2 linked regions of the Struthio camelus genome follow. The protein of the gene in region 2 interacts with the protein of the main gene of each other region in a pairwise test. Links are inferred from orthologs where the notes say so. Each region holds a gene or a part of one and is shown on either strand. Other genes may lie near its edges.

Region 1 (7,734 bases), on a different chromosome or scaffold from region 2:
TGGCATAGGAATTCCCTTAAGGTTTACAGAAAACAATTCAAAATTGAATCATAAGTATGGTTCACTGCCTCCCTCCAATCTACCTTGGCATGGATTACAGCTCACCAAATAACCTTGGCGCTCCTGTAGCCCTTGCCCACCACATAAACAATGAGATGCCAGCAGCCAAAGCCTTTAAAGTGTTGCAAGCAAGATATGAAGTTTTTGTTTAAGCACCACTATGCAACAGATTGTGATAAAAGTAAATTCTTCACAAGTCTGATTTATTAAGATTATATAAAAAACAACTAGAGATAAAATAAGATAGCGTGGCCTTTAGCTACTTCAGAGACACAGAAAAATTACCCTACCTTTAAGGTTTTGCAATTATGATGGAACTTTCTACTTAAGCAGCCCAAACAGGGAACATAATTTGGGAGACAGCAAGATATGAGAGAAAAGAAGAGCACTGAACTACTCCAGTCTTCAGATATTCTACTTTTATTTGAAAGTGATCTTACACAACATATTGACCTATCAAAAGCAAAAGAAACAGTGAGGAAAGTTTAAAGAACAAGCAAAAAAAAAAAAAGGTTCAGTTCAGTTCAACAGGGTTTTTTTCCTATCATATTTCTATTAGTTATGCCATATGAAGTCACTATGATCAGGGTCTTTTATATTCTGTACTCTCATATTAGACATACAAAACAATTTTTCACGCTGTTTTAAAGAAATATTTAACCTATTTGATAACAAGATTTTATCAAGTCCATTAAAAGAATTTTTGTTTTGCTGAACTGATGATTAAAAATCTCATTTGAAAGTGTTATCATTGGGATAGCTTCATCTAGAAAAGTACAGGTGACTGCAAGTGTTTTATCTCTTACAAAAATAAGTAGCAGGCAAGATTCAAAGATCTATATTTATGAAGTGTTTGTGAAACCTATAAATGCAGTCTAGAATCCAGTATACCTTTTACTAGAGAGAGAGGAAAAAAAAAAAATCAGTGCTTTGCAAGGTATAATGCTTGGAAATTTTATTATAAACAAACATTCAGTGAATGCTGTTCGGTTCCAAAAGCCTCTCTAAACCAAGTTAGTTTTACTGTGAATATTCATCTCTTTCCAGATACTGCTCTTTTTAAGGCACAGCACTGTTCTGCCTTGTTTTGGAAACAGCTTTACAACACCTTATCGGTTTTAAGCCTGATCACACTGACTGACAGCATCACAACTCTTGCCAAAACTTCAACTAAAGTAACCCTTTCATTTTTTAATTAACACTAAAAATATTTTATTAATAAATAAAAATGATTACAGTTTTCACGGTTTTTGCAAAGCCTTCTAAAGCTATCTGTAAACGCATTAAGGAAATATTTCATTTTCTTAATTTCTGAAAAAACTGGTTACCATACTACGTGTAATTGAAGTGTCTTAAACTTTAAGTTTTGGCAAAGTTACAGTAGACAAGACTTTAAGCACCATATTTAAAAGGCTCTTAAAAATAAAAATCCAAAGTACATGTTTTCTGAGAAAATCCATAAATTTAATTGGAATAGCTATGAGAGCAGTTTATTTAGCATTTTAAAATTAATTTTAAATGAAGTCAATACAGCTATGAAGATAGGTGTAGTTTGTAATCAGAAGATTTATTTTAACTTTCCTTATAGAAAAATTTACCCTTTTAAATATACTGTAACAAGATGGATATTTCAGTTGCAGCTGTGAGGTGCACTCACATTTGTTATTTATTAAAAGCATAATGAGAATGGTAAATTATTCATCCTTCTTTGCTCACTAGGTAACATTAACCAAGCGCAGCAGAAGAGCGACCGCTGAGACAGAAATACAAAAGGCCTGATTTTAACCCACCCCAGACCTCATTAAACCAATCTATAATAAAATGAAAACAACAATAAAAATATTAAAGCAACAAGAGCTAAGGTTCTTCCCTTATTTTACTGAGGAATGTAAATATTCGAACAGATGGTAGCTGCCACTGCATGCTTCTAGATTGAATAACCTTTCGTCTGCTCCTAAAGAGAAGCTGGTAATCACAAATACTGCTAGTCTTAACTACCTAGATCACCGTTTCTCAGATTTTCTGCGGAAGATGCTTACAGATGAACACAACGAACAAATCAGCGAGCACACAGTCAAGTAAGCCATCCGCAAACAAAGCGGACCACACTTCCAAACTGATGAAAACCCGGTTGCTTTTTGTCAGCAGTACTTCTGAGTTTACGGCATCGTCCAGGATCTTGCGCTTGGTGTGCCCCTGCTTCCTGGAGTCCTACGAGTATCAGGGAGCCCCCAGCAGAGCGCGAGCACGTCGGCAGCGCAACGCTTCCGCACCGCTCACCGCCTTGCCACCAACTCGCAACCAGAATTCCCTCCGCGCGCCTTGCTCTCCAGCGTAATCGCGTTAAGAAACGACGGCGAGCTGCAAATCCCCGCTCCTGAGCTGCTGCAGCAGTACGCAGTGGCCGCCGAGCCGCGGGCCCGCCGTCAGCCTCGGCAGCGCTCGCAGACCGCGGAGCGGTCGGAACCGCGCCGAAACCAGCCCGCCACCGCGCCGACCGCGCCTCGCCCCAGCCCTCGGGCCGCGCCGCCGCCCGCCCTCCCTCCGCGGACCCCCGCCCGGAGCCGGCCGCGCTGCCCCGCCGGGCACGGGGAAGCGCTTGCGAGCAGTGCTAGCCCGAGCGCGGCTCCCCCTCACGCTAACTAACGCCAACCGTCAGCCCTCCCTGCCGGCCGGCACCGCCGCCCCGCAGCCCCCCGGCCCGGGGGCTCCCCTCCCCCCACCCCAAGCGACTTCGCTGCCGACCGCGGTTCAAGCCAACGGCACCGGGAACGAGCCGCGCCGCGCCGGGCGCACGACGCCTCCCCGCCAAGCTGGCCCCGGCAGCGGGCGCAGAGCCCGCCCCACAGCCGGCCGGCACCGGGAAGCCCGCCGGCGGCTCCGCACCGGACAGGCGCGGTGGGGCCCCACGATGGGGGGGGGGGGGGGGGGCACCGCCGCCACTCACCTGCCGAGCCCAGCGAGAGCGGCCGTCTCCGCACCGCGTCCCCTCAGCCAACCTCGCCGGTGGGGGGGGGGACTGGAGGGGGCGGGACGCCTCGCAACCACTGCGCATGCGCCCCACCCGCCGGGGGCGGGAGGCAGGCAGGTGCGCGAGACCCCGCCCGGGGAGGGGTTTAACCGTCGCCCCAACCGCCAGCCCCGGCGGGAAGGGGGTGGGGCGGCGGCTCGCCTCCGCCAGCAGCCTCTGTGGGGCCTGGTCTCCATTCCCCTCCCCCCCCCCCGGAGTTGCCTCTTGTCCTCGGGAAGCGCCCCACGCTGTTGAGCGGGAGCAGCCGGCCTCGCCAGCGACTCGAAACACCTTAAAGGAGGCTCGTAGGGCGGCCCCTGCCTCACCCGGCCCTCGGCTTGTCGCGCTGTCGGCAAACAAGTCGCGTTCCCAAGGGCTAGAGGAAAGGAGGCGCGGGCTGAGGGGGGAGGACAAGCTACACGGCCGGAGTGGGCCCGTTCCCGGCTCTTCTGCCGCTCTGATGGCTGCAGCGGGTCTGCTCCGGGCTCGCCGTCACCTTCCCTCGACTGCCAGCAGCACCAAGGACTCTCCTGGCTGATGCTCTGGCCACAACGCGCTCCCAGCTCATCGTTTTCAGGCCCAACTTGAAAAAATACTGAATACTCACCGTTGAAGTGGTGCACAGCATAAACTGTCTTAGGTGCTGCGGTTTGCGAGAAGGCAAACTACAGGTAGAGTTGTGACTTTGGAAGTGGTTTGTCAATACTTAGCTCCTCTGATGGTGAGCTGGAAAAGAGGGCTAAAACATCACTTTTGTTCACAGGCAGGTGAGGACAAGATTGTCAAAGTCTGAGTGTTTTGTTACCTGGAGCATCTTTGAGGGGGGGGAAAAAAAAGCAAGGAAATGAGTAGTTCTGTATTTAATTGGTATACAGTAATAAAGTTACAGGACTGCACAATCAAAAATGAGAAACCTGATACTTACCCAGGGATTTTCATTCATGGGGCATGCATCTCCCTAAATGAGGGCCTACTCCTGTCTAATATATGTAATAAAAGACTGAACTATAATGCATATGCACAGGAATGATGAAATAAGGTCCCATAACTAAAAAAGACTATTATTAAAAAAAAGCTTTGTTTTTCCAGCTTTACTAGTTTGTCCAATAAGAAGTTATTACTATTACTTCTAATCTTGGCTTGACTATGTCCTTAAACCATCGTTACTGCAACCGTGACAACTACTATAGTTCAGGCAATTTTCTGACTTTGTGGCAGTTAACATGTAGCCTTCCCTTTTTCCTTTTGAAGTCCCAGTCTGTATATTGCTTTTAGAATCAGTAGTCAAAACATTAGAAGGTCTCTATAAACAAGACTCCATTTTACCACTGTTCTGATTAGGCAGCCAAAACTTATGCTTCAAATGACAGCAGTATTGACTGTATCATTGCTTATTATTGCTTATTGTCAGTAGCAGCTGAACTGAGTGCTGCACTGGTAAGTAACTTTAGCAAAAAAAATCCTAATGTAAATAAGATCGCCCCATTCATCAGTTAAAGAATCTAGGCCACATTCCAGTCAATTATTGAAAGGTTAATTATCTTGACAGCTTTCCACTGAATGTGAAAGAATGCTGCTTGACCAGTCCTGCAGGACACAGCTATCGACAATTGGACAAATAATGTTCTTAACCATAGCTTCCACAAAGCAAAAAGTTCATTGAGGGCAAAATAATATGACAAAGAAGATGTCAAAAGACAAAGATATCAATGTCATTCATCATAAATATATTACCTATAAATAGTAGTATCTTTTAAAATGATCTTCAGTGCATAAATCTACACTGACCGCAGGTGGGGTGGGGAGCGGTCAGGCAGCCAAAAAAAAAAAAAAGCTACATAGAATCATCATCAACTGCTTCTCGGGAAGTAATCTAAAACCAATGAACCAAGTAGAGCAGAAAGTGGTGTAGTTGAATAACAGTATAATTTGAAGTTTGTTGTGAAAAGCCTCAGAGTGGAGATGCTCAGGTCTTGGTGCTCCGACCTTTAAACATACAATAGAGACCAGTCAGTGCTATCAGAATACAGGTTTCTGAAGTTAGAAGATACATCAGAAAGTTCATTAAAAACATGATTGCAAAAGAGACCTGACAAGTGGAATCAGAAGTTGGAAACAATGTATCAGGATTTAGTAAACTGACAAGAGTCTATAATTAGGATCTGTAATCCTATAGTTCTTAATCCTGTAGAATGACTGTACTTGGCATGACAGTCTGCTGTTCTAACCAGATTAGATGTCTTGCATTTCAAGAAATAAAAGCCATACAGTTCTAAAGGTATTTGGTTGTGCTAAAATTAATCATGAACAGATTTATTTTGTCAAAGTATTCCTATATTTTGCTATGTATGATACTTTGAAAAGTCAGATGGCAAGAAACTGTAGAAAATATAACTTACATGGTTAAAATTAGAAGTTGAAACAACTAGGATCAAGTTCAAATATATTAATAAAAATTAGAGTCTCTTTTCAAGAAAAAAATCTGTTTTAAAAGAGTACTTTTAGGCAACCTTTGGTTTCTTCCTGAGCTGCACATCAGCACCAGGGAACAGCAAGAATGGGGCCACTCCACCGTGGATAACTAGTTGGGACCAAGGGTGGCCCCAACCGGCAAGGGCACAGTCATGCACAGGGCTGGGATGGTGACAGCAACAGTTTCTGTCATTCATCTAGTGACCATCAGAAAAGGTGAGATTTTGAATCACGTCCAGGATCCATCCTAGAAGTCCACCCAGGAACAGCAGAAGACAGGACCAAAGACCAAGCCACCTACAATGTAGGTATGAGCTTCGTCCAAGGGGGAAGGAACAGAGACAGGCTCACCCAAAACACAGCTCAGGCAAAACCTGCAGTCCCAAACCCAAGCTTAAATGAAGCCCCTAGAGCCCCTCCCCACTATGGAAAAAGGGTGCTTGGGTGGAGATCCCAGGTGAAGCTGGTCAGGACAATTAAGGCCTAGTAGTGCCATCAGGGTCCTGGCAATTAGACACCATCAGGAAAACTGAAAGTCCTTTTATAAGCAAAAACATACATGGCTGTTCTTTTAAATGAGCAAAGCCACTGTGGCCAGTAGAAAGTGAGGTACAGTTTACAGCTTTGCTGGAATAAAATATGCCATGAATGCTGTCTCTGAATAAACAGATGTAGTCTGACAGGACCTTTCAACAAAACTGCACAATATATAAAACGTGGAGGATGGAATTTTCTGCAATTGCGTTGTTTCAGTATTTGCTGCTCCTAGAAAATCTATTTACTCAGCTTGTTGAATCATTTCCTATGTTCCTTTTGGACTCCTTAGTGTGGTTAGATGCCCCAAAATAGAAATTCACATTCTCCAGCTAGATAGAAAGCTGCATCCTATCTTGCTGCAGTCAGACTCGGTCTCAGCAGTCCATATACTGATAACTGACAGACTCATTGCTGTAGCTTCTGTCCAGACATACTGGTGCAAAATGTGGTGAATATTTTCGCAAACATATTCCCTCACTGCACACAATCCCTCTGACTACAGCATCTTTGTCTGTCCAAATCCTCTATTACATTTAAACCACTGGTGTGAGAGAGCGTGTCTCCAAATGCAGCTGTATTCTTCCCTAATAGTTACCTTTCACTGGACTATATTTCAGTGAGGAAAATCAGTCTCGGTGAGGAAAAAGCACAGGGGAAAAAGATGCTTCACAGAGGCTAGGCCCAGACTGTAGCAGGCTTCTCTGCTAAAAGCCAAGAATGACTGCAGGATTTTAAAGTGAAGTGCAGTGTTTCCCTTTGATCTGACTTGACTTTAATAAAGGCTTCTTACATGTACTCACAGGCACAAACACTGGCTAGTCAAACTGTTCCTCCTGCAGGCTGGGAGGACTAAGAAGAATGAGGTGGTGGTTTTCTCAAGAGAAGGTGTTCGAGTGTGTGGTAGGGAAGGATGCCTCAGCAATTTCACAGATAAATAAAGCAGATAAGGTTGGACTCTATTTTCTACTTCCTTGAGGTACTTCTTGCTTGTTTCTTTTGTTAGCTTTTAATATTGCATAAACTAATTATTACCTCACTTTCAAAGAAGGTATTACAAAACAATAAACTCAGGCAAACCAAGGGATAAATCTATTAATAGAAGTCGTACATGCATTGCAACACCATAGGACAGTGAAGAGAAGCCAATAAATGTTCTACTATGTACATATAAGGAAACTAAGGTACAGAGACTATAAATCTTATCTACACTAGAGATTTTTTTTTCCTTCTGCTAGTTCAGCTGAACCAGTGCTAGCAGTTTTGGGAACCGTGGCATAGACAAGACTTCCCCAATCAGGCATATTTCGTCAGCATTTTAGCTAAGCTTTTGGAAAGCAAATCTAATTGGTACATTGGTATAAATAAGCATCCAGCTATGGGAGTGCTAAAACCACGGCTTTTGTCTTTACTGCCCCTGATTTAACTGATAGAACATTAAAACCAATGAGACCTTATTTTTCTTCAAATTTATCCACTAAAAAACCCCTCCAGAATAAGAGCAAATAGACAGGATTGATGTTAAATACTCCTGACATATAGCCTGTTTCTCAAAATTTCTGGTAATGGAGATTCCACAGCCTCCCTAAGCAATGTATTCAAGCGCTGAACTACCCTTGGAGATAGAAATGTTTTCTGAAGTCTAACCTAATCGCCTT
Region 2 (8,551 bases):
AGTGGAGTGACCAGCTCAGCTTCACGCTCCCGTGAGGCTTGCCAAAAATTTCCACCCAGGAAAGAAAAAAAGAGGTTTTGGCTGATCCAGTTGTTTTCCCACCAAGCGCCTCAGCTTTTGGAAGAAATCTCCCACTTTTTTCACAACTCCTCCCGCTCCCAAACTGAATCCTTCAGCCTAAAACCAAACCCCTTCGACTGGGCAACGGCACCGAGAAGCCTCCCGAGAGCCGACGCTGGGTCCCGATCGGGGTGCGCTGGAGCGTTGGCCGGGCAAGGGGACGGGACGGCTCCGTGGGGAAGGGAGCCGGCGTCACCCGGCCAGGCCCCCGAAACGGTTGCGGAGCCGGCATTTGGAGGCAGCGGCGGCGGCGTGCAAGGAGGGCCCTGCGCGGGAGGAGCGGGCTGCGAAAGCAAAACCTGGGGGCACGCAACGCGCTCGCCGGCTCACGAGCTGCCGCCCCAGGGGGAGCGAGCGCTGGCGCGCTGCTGCCTGCCTGCAAGGACTGCGCTCTGCAAAAGGCGCTGGCTGGCTGCTTGGCTGCGCCCACGGGAGAGGGGCCGCAGAGGCGCCCGCGGGACCCCCGAGCCCCGGCGGGACGCGGCGCTCGCCGCCCCGGGCCATCGCTGGCAGGGCGTTTCTGCTTCCTGAAGCCCAAGAAACATTAGGGGATTTTTAAATTCTTCTGTGTTTTTAATTGCATCAAAACCCCAGTGAGCACAGAGGCCCGAAACCTTTCCGGAGCTTTTGCACAGCTTCTCCGTTTCGCCGTATCCCAGATTTGACATCAGCTCTCATTTCTCTCCTCGCCAGTATTGCCTCTTCCGAATTGGCAGACACCCGGGAGCTGGCGGCAACCGGACACGGGGCCCTGTGCCGGCCTCGCCGCGTCCCGGCCGCGGCGCCCATGGAGAAGTGCCTCTTTTGGAGGGACTCGGGGCAAGGTGCCGGAAGCAGCCATGATTCCTGCCCGAGTACAAGGGACAGCAAAGCTCGGGACGCCCCTCAAAATCATTTTAAGCCTGATTTTAGGCTCTGGTTTGGCTAGTGCAGGAGGGCAGCAGCACGGCAGCGCTCGTCACAGCTCCGAAATCGGGTGGGATTAAAGCTCTTGCCCAAAGAGCAGCCGGCGAGCTGGGCTCACACGGTGCCTTAGCCCAAAGGCAGGATAGAGGCAAAATGCCCGGGCGGTTTGCACCGGACAGGCTTCCACCCCGACGGGGTTTCTCGCTGCCTGCCGGGCTTCCCCGAGCCGTTTCGGCTCGGCGGCTCTCAAGGGCACTCGCGCGCGCAAATGAACCGCGCCGGAGATGAGGGGAGATTAGGGGGATTAGCGCCGCAGAGGTCACGCCGGAGGGGAATAAAAGAGGAAAAGATGCACACAAAAAAAAAAGAAGAAGAAGCGATAGACAGGGACATTTCCTCGGTACGTCAGCGCTCTGTTCACCTTCCGGGCTGGCTCAGGAGCTCTGCGGAGCGGGACGAGGAGCTGCCTTTTCCCGGCAGGCCGGCCGGTCCGGGGCGACGCGCTGCCACGACGTACCGGGGGGTATCAAAGTGCCAAAACCTGAGAGTGTTTTCTAGAGCAAATAAAGCTAGGCAAAATATCATCTGGTTAAATGGAAGGACGCGGAGCATGACTTCTGCCTGCTCCTCCCCCTCGGCTTGGGCCACAAGCCAACGCACGCTGCCCTGGGCAGGCAAGACACTGCTCCTGGGGGACGGTATTGCCCCGGCCACAGTGCAAGAGGGCACCCGGCTCTGCCGGCGGGGAAACAGGGCGCCGCCGGCAGCCAGGCTCTCCTGGGGCTCTTGCCTGCAGAGACCCCACACCACTCATCACAGCGACTGCCAGCAGGGCTCCACAGAGGCCCTGGGCGGCCAGGCCTCGGGGCCGTGCATGGGCAGGGTGCCCTGCTGGCGCCGCCAGCCAGAGCCCCCGAGCCGCCGCGCCGCTCAGCACGGCCCCGCCGCCTCCTCGCCCAGCGGAAAAAACCGGCCCTCCGCCGGGGCGCGCTTAGCGTGCCAGCCAGAACGGCGTTCGCCGTTTGACCTAGCAACGGAGACGCAGGCTCGGGCATCTGGGAGAGCGCTAAATATATCTCTGCTTCTCAGAGACTTTAAGACGCAGGGTTGGAAGAGGCTATGAAAACGCAGCGCGTTAGTCGTCCGGAGGGTAGTAATACATTCGCCCTTCTCCGCGCGCTAGCGCTGCGGCCGGCGGCAGGGGTGCAAGCCGGCGAGGAGCGAGCGTTTCGGAGGTTCGCTGCGCGGGCCCAGCCGGACGCCCTGCTCTGCTCGGCCCGGCGTCCTCGCTCCAGGCTGGTGCCAGCCCGCTGCCCGCCGGCTCCCGCCGGCTCCTCTGCCTCCGGGATCAGTTTTCCCCTGCGCGGCTCGGGCGGTCGGGGCCGATCCGGCCCTGCTCGTCCCACGCCTGCCGGTGCGGCTCTCCCCGAGGTCGGGGAGCGACGGGGACACGCATCCCCCTCCGCTGCTGCCGCCGCAGCCTGCTGCCTAATGAAGAGGGTCTCTCGCTAGTGGGGGCTAGTAGGCCCCACGCTGGCAGGCAGCGCGGAGCAGGATGGATGCCGCGGAGCGGACCTGAGTCAGCCACGAGCACGTGGGAACGGCATCGGCGCCCGGCAGAGGCGAGCAAAGCCGGGCCGGCGCTCGGGAGGCGGCAGGGGCAGGCGGGAGCCAGGGGCGGAGGGCTCCTCTCCCCCAGCAGCCCGGCGGCCGGCTCTCTTTCGGGCAGGTCTCGCTCCCTTGCAGGGGGGTGACTTCTCCGCTGGAGCCCGCAGGGACCCTCCAAAGCGCCAGGCTGCGGCGATGCAGCCGCACAAGGCGCCTTTTGGGGGCCGCAGGCTGCACGCAGCCCCCTCCCTCCTGGCTCCCGGGTCCTGCCTCGCCGCCGCCGCCACCGGCTGGGGCTCACAGCCAAGCTGATTTCCAGCGATTAATCAATAGGAGAGCCAAAGGGCAACGCCACGCCAGCGCTCTCCAGAGAAAGCACAGGGCTCTCTTAAAAGCTTTGGAGCCTCAAACAAATCAACTGCCATCACCTTCGAAGCGCAGAACACGTCACTCGGTAACCAAGCATCCTTTGCCCCGCTAGAGTCGGTCATTACAGCACCGTCCCCGCCGCCGTCCTCCAGCGAGGACCGCGCCAGGCCAGGGGGCGGCTCCGCTCTGGCTGGGAAAGGGCTGGCGGAGCCGGAGAGAGCGGCCGGAGGTGCCACCGACCGTCCCGCGAGCCCCTGCTCTGGCTGCCGAGGGCCCCGGTCCGCCGAGCTGCCGCAGCCACGGCCCTGCGAGGGGCTCGGTGCCGCCGCCAGGCAGCGCGGCTCTGCGAAGCAGCCCTCGCCGGCGAAGGCGGCGTTGCTCGAATCAGAGCATTTTGCAGAAATTGCCTCAGATGTGGGAGAACTGCGAAAACTCAGGAGGTTCTCGGATGCTGCCTCTAAAAAGCAGCCAGGATTACATGGATTGCGCACCTCGCTTCTTCGCCCAAGGTTACAGCCCAAGGAGCGGAGGTGGAAGAAGTCCACGCGCGCGCGCGCACACACACACACACACACTTGCACATACTTGCCGCGTGCTCGAAGCGCTAGGACCTGCTGCCCCCCAGCATCGTGCGGACGCAGCTGGATCCGTGCAGGAACGGTTCTCCGCGCAGCGACAGCGAGCGCAGGGCTCGGGGCTCTGCACGCCGCGTGGAGCAAATGCTGCCGAAAGAGGTGGCAATCCGACCCAAGCCGGGGATCAGGAGCAATAGGTCACAGCCTGCACTGACTTGCCCCGAGAATGAAAATCAGCAGAGGATTTGGGGCTGGTGAGGTAGCGACAATCATGTATTCAGTTGTTTAATCCCAGATGGGCACAAAATCCCTGGATAAAAAGGCCAGAGCTGCTCCTAATTGCTCAGTGCTGTGCACACGGGGATGGGTGAGCAAAACCTCTTAGGCTGCGGCAGGCGGGAGGGAGCCAGCTCTCTCCCTTCCCCACTGCCCGTCTGTGCCCTGAGGACCGGCCCCGAAGCCGGGAAGGGCTCCGGGTTGGGGGAGCAACCTCCTGGCAGTTTTGCGATAGGATTTGGAAGAGTCGCTTCCCAGCGGACTGTTTTCTGCGGCTGGAAGGCCAAAGCCAGGCTGCCTTGGGCCCCTGTGCGAGAGCCGGCGGGAGCCGCTGAGCGGATGCAGCCCGAGCCCCTGCTGCAGCGCAGCCGGGGGTGGCACAGCCCTGGCGTGGCGCCCGCCGCACAGGGTGCTGGCGGCTGCTGGAGCTGGGCTGCCGGCCGGGGCAAAGGGACACACGCCAGCCCTGACCGGGGCACCGGACAGCCTGGGGCCCTCTCCGAGCTCGTCGGCCAAGCTGCCGCCCCAAGTCCGCTCTGGTCCCTCCCGAGACCAGGACATAGGCAGAGGCGCTGGGGCAAAACCGCGCAGTGCGGAGAGGCCGGCAGAGGAGCAGGCGAGCCCTGCAGCCCCGCTGCCTGGCAGCCAGCTCTCCTTGCCGCCGCAGCCCTCGGCCCCCTCGGCACAGGAACCAGGAGCAGGGCCCGTCTGCCCCGAGCAGGCACCCGGCACTGCGCGGGAGCACCCCGGAGGGGAGAGCACCCCGAACGCACCCCTGGCCCACAGCAGGACTGCCTGGGCAGGGCTGATTCCCAAGGATTTGGTGACTCTCGGAGCACTTCTCTTTGGGGAATCTGCCCTGCCTTTCCAGCGGTGATTTTTTTTTTACAGCTAGTCCAACACTGCCCTTTCCTGAATCTTTAAGCCTGTGCTCTTCCGGGGAGCCGGGACAACTTCGACACGTCTCTACCCCGATCGGAAGAGCCGAGGAAAAAAAAAAAGGGAAATATCTGGCTCTGACAAAACTGCCCGCCAAGTCGGCGAGCCCCGAAGCCGGGCCGCCCCGCAGGAGGAAGGGGCTGGAGGCGGCGCGGCGGTGCCGGGGGGGCCGCGCCCGCGCCGCTGGCACCTGCCGCGGCCGCGCAGGCACCACCCCGGGGCCGGGCCAGCGGCAGCCGCAGCCCCGTCCCCGCCTCCCCCGGCCCGGCCCGGCCCGGCCCGGCCCGGCCCGGCCCCGCCGGCTCCCGGCGCAGAGAGGCTCCCGGCGGCAGCGGGGGGAAGGAGCCGGCCGCCGCGATGCACTCGCTCTTCAGGAAGCGCAACAAAGGGAAGTACAGCCCCTCGGTGCAGAAGAAGAGGTGAGTGAGCGCCCGCCGCCCCGTCGGGGGCCGCCCGGAGCGCGGCGCAGCGCTCGGCCCCGCCGCGCACCGCTCCGCACCGCTCCGCACCGCCGCCGCGCACCGCGCTCGGCGGGGTCCCCGAGAGCGGCAGGGCTGCCGAGCCGCTGCCGTGCCCTCCTCGGCGGAGGCCAGAGTCGGTCTTCGAGCCTTCGCAGCTTCAGCGCTCGTTGCCTTGAGCTTTGGTTTCGTTAGAACCGAATAGTCAGTGTTTCCTCTTCTCTCGACGCCCTTTCTGTTGGGGTGGAAATGGATTTTAAGTTGTGCTGGTGCAAGAACACGCGCGGGGTTACACATACCCCTTGCAAGAATGCTGTTAAAATGGAAAAGATGTAAAAGTTCCCAATAGAAAAGGCACGGCCTCTCTCCAGGCTGAATGATTCATTGTAGGAGAGAAGGAAACTGGAGGGCGGCCAGTCCCCAACCCCTGGGTGCATGTCAGGGACAGAGGGGTCATTTTTGCAACAGAAGTTGAATGTTCTGATCAATTCGGGAGGAAGTCTAGCATTTCTGGAAAGGCCTGGAGAGGCTCTGGAGTGTATACACTCCGGGAGCCACTAGTGAGTAATGCGAGGAAGGGAAGGAGCCCTCCTGCCTCCGTCTCTCCAGGTGTGGATGTGAGCCGGTGGCTTTGTACTGCTGCGCAAACGGCTCTCCGGCCGTTCGGCATTTCCTCTTTCCCTGCTGCGCTTCTGGCAGCGCTGCCCGTCTGCCGCTGGGATGGGGGTGACGGGGAGACACCTGCCCCAGCCTGCGGGCTGGGCGCTGCAGCGCTGCGCTGCGCTCCCCAAAAATCGTCCTTTGGGAAGGGAAACTCAAGAACGGGCGCGGGGGCTGAGGCTGCGTTCAGGGACCCAGGAAGGGGGCCCCGGGCGGCCCAGAGGGTGCTGACCCCTTCCGAGGCGGGGAGCTCAGACAGCCGAGGTGCGCAGGTCTGCCTTCAGCAGCTCCCGGAGCTGCCTCTCACCCCACCTGGGAATTAATCCGCTCAGTTCTGGGCTTTTTTGGCTCGACTATCCTGTAGTCGCAGTGCTGGCGGCGAGACGTCAGGGAGCTGTCCTGACTCAGCGGAGGGCAGTGGGGGAGCTGGGGAAAGTGCCGCGCTGCTTCCTCCCTGCAGGCAAAACTAGGGCTGCCTGCAGGTCCCATGCTGTCGCTTTTGGCATGGGGGTCCCCTGAAAGGGGGAGACCCTGAGCGTGGGGGGACTCAGGTCGGTCTTGGCACCTGCTGAGCTCCCTCTCTCAGTACTGAGGACCAAAGAGCTCCGGCTCCGGAAGCGGGGATGGGATCCCCAGGCAGCCTCTGCAGCCCGACCGGCTCAGCAGGGCCGTCGAAACAGCCGCTTGCACCCCCTCCCCAAGCCCCGCGGCACGCTCTGGCGCCGGCTCCCACCCCAGCAAGGGCTGGTGGAGGGAGAGGAGTTTGTGCCATCTGAGGCACAAGCACGCGCCTCCCCGAAGGCCCCGTCACCAGCGTCGAGGGCTGAAGGAGCGATTGCAGCCTCAAACGAAGATGTGAAAACCAGGTTCTGTTTCTAATCTCCACTGGTGTCGGAGTAGGGCTTGAACACAAGAAATGCCACACCTGGCTTGACATCTCAGGACTCTGAGCAGCACCCGGAGCCCGGGAGGCAGCAGGAGACGGGCCTTCGTGCACGGGCACCTGGGGCTCGGGAAGATGGCCTTCCCTCCAGCGCCCTGCCAGCAAGCCCAGCACGCTCGGGGCACCGCCTCAGAGGGACGTCAACGCACCTCTGACGGCCGCAGACCTGTAGGCCAGGATGAAATCTTATTCTTTGTGGCTGGATTGTGCAGGCTCAGGAAGCGACGCGCGATGTGGCCTCGGGCCACCCTCCCTCCCCGCAGCACGGAGAGCCGTGTCTGTGCCTCCAAGTGTGTCCACGCACACCTAGGGCAGGGCTGCGCTTATTACGCCCAATTTGTTAATTCCTGTGCTGGAGTTTACAAACATCTGCGAATGCAGGGAACGCTCCCGCTCTGTGGAGACGTCCCTGCAGTCGAGAGGGGGAAGCCAGAGCCAGACCGGTTAAACGACTTGCTGGAGAAGCCGGGGGCAGATTGCGAGTTGAGGAGCTCCTGCCGCCCCGTCCCGCGCTCAAGGCGCTGCTGGAGTCGGAGCCAGCTCCCGCCCAGTTATGCTGCTACAAAGACAGAGCAACCCTGCTAAAATCAACAGCCCCGTGCTGTAAACAGGAACAGAGGCTTGGACACAGCGGCCAGCCCAGCCTCAGCCGGCTCTTCGGAGAGGCTTTTTCAGCTGGGGAAAGGTAGGTTGTAGGGTTGCGTGTTAGCTCAGGGCTGAGTGCCAGGGTGCCCCTGGTGACTGAGCGTTCAAAGCATAGTAGTGACAGAGCACATAACTGAGCACCGGTTTGGCAAGCGATCAATCACGCTGGAACATTTCCTGCAGGTAATAAGGAGCCAGGCCTGTGATCTCAGCTGATTCAGTTAGGGGTTGCCTAGGAAGTACCTTCCTAGGGCAGTTAGCGCTCTGACACGGACGACTGTACGACTCGATCTCGGTGGCTCCTTCAGTCGGCAGCCGTGGGACAAATTCCTGTTGCAGCGCGGGCATCTTGCCGTCTGTGCTCGGGCAGCTGCCATGATGATTAGCGCCAGAGATCAGAGCAGGGCTGTCAGGATCTGAAGATGAATCTCTGCAGCTCAAGCCAGGCTCTGTAATCTGCCCAGGAACAACGTTCTCCGTCCTTCTGGCTCCGAATGCAGACAGCCACCAGTCACCAACCCAAAACTAGCCCTTAAGGCTCCAAACCAAAGCACCTTGAAGTTTATGGGCTTCAAGCAACCCCCTCCCTACCCCAGTTCCTATCTGCGCACGGCCTAGGCATCTCGTACCCCAAGGTGCTACCCAGAGCTTGCTGAGAGCAGAGCCCGAGGCCCTCGCCCAGCGGGGCGCGAGGTCCCCTACGCAGGGGTGGGATGCTCTGCTCCGGCCCGGCAGCTGAGCTGACCTGTTTCGACAAGGCTGCTGCTGCGCCTGAGCTGGCTGCGAAGCGGCCTGCCCTCGCTGGGGCCAGGCACTGGCCTTGGCAGCGGGCGGCTGCAGGAGCTCGCGCGCTCTCCAAGCAGGGCCGGAGCTGGTTGTGGCGACCGCCTCTGCCTCTCGCAGCCTGTCTGCCCCACGTTAACATTAGTAAGGAAGGAAGTCGTTCCGCTTTGAAGTTCTAATGGGGCAACGGCGTGGAAAAAACAGAATTGGCGTTAAATCTTGCAAAGCCGTGATGATTTAAACACGACTTGGCGCGCACAGATCGAGCC

What was found.
Region 1: the proteins of PPL (region 2) and RAB3IP interact in binary tests that used the Homo sapiens proteins (3 or more experiments, as listed by UniProt). The two-hybrid records come from large-scale screens. The link is inferred for Struthio camelus from reciprocal best matches to the Homo sapiens genes PPL and RAB3IP.

Annotation. Positions count from the first base shown.
Region 1 is NC_090942.1:40,821,053-40,828,786, reverse strand, and holds the start of RAB3IP (rab-3A-interacting protein), read right to left. Parts: upstream 3,108-7,734; 5' UTR 3,008-3,107; intron 1-3,007. UniProt on the Homo sapiens protein: Guanine nucleotide exchange factor (GEF) which may activate RAB8A and RAB8B. Promotes the exchange of GDP to GTP, converting inactive GDP-bound Rab proteins into their active GTP-bound form.
Region 2 is NC_090956.1:17,374,757-17,383,307, forward strand, and holds the start of PPL (periplakin), read left to right. Parts: upstream 1-5,070; 5' UTR 5,071-5,150; coding exon 5,151-5,212; intron 5,213-8,551. UniProt on the Homo sapiens protein: Component of the cornified envelope of keratinocytes. May link the cornified envelope to desmosomes and intermediate filaments. May act as a localization signal in PKB/AKT-mediated signaling.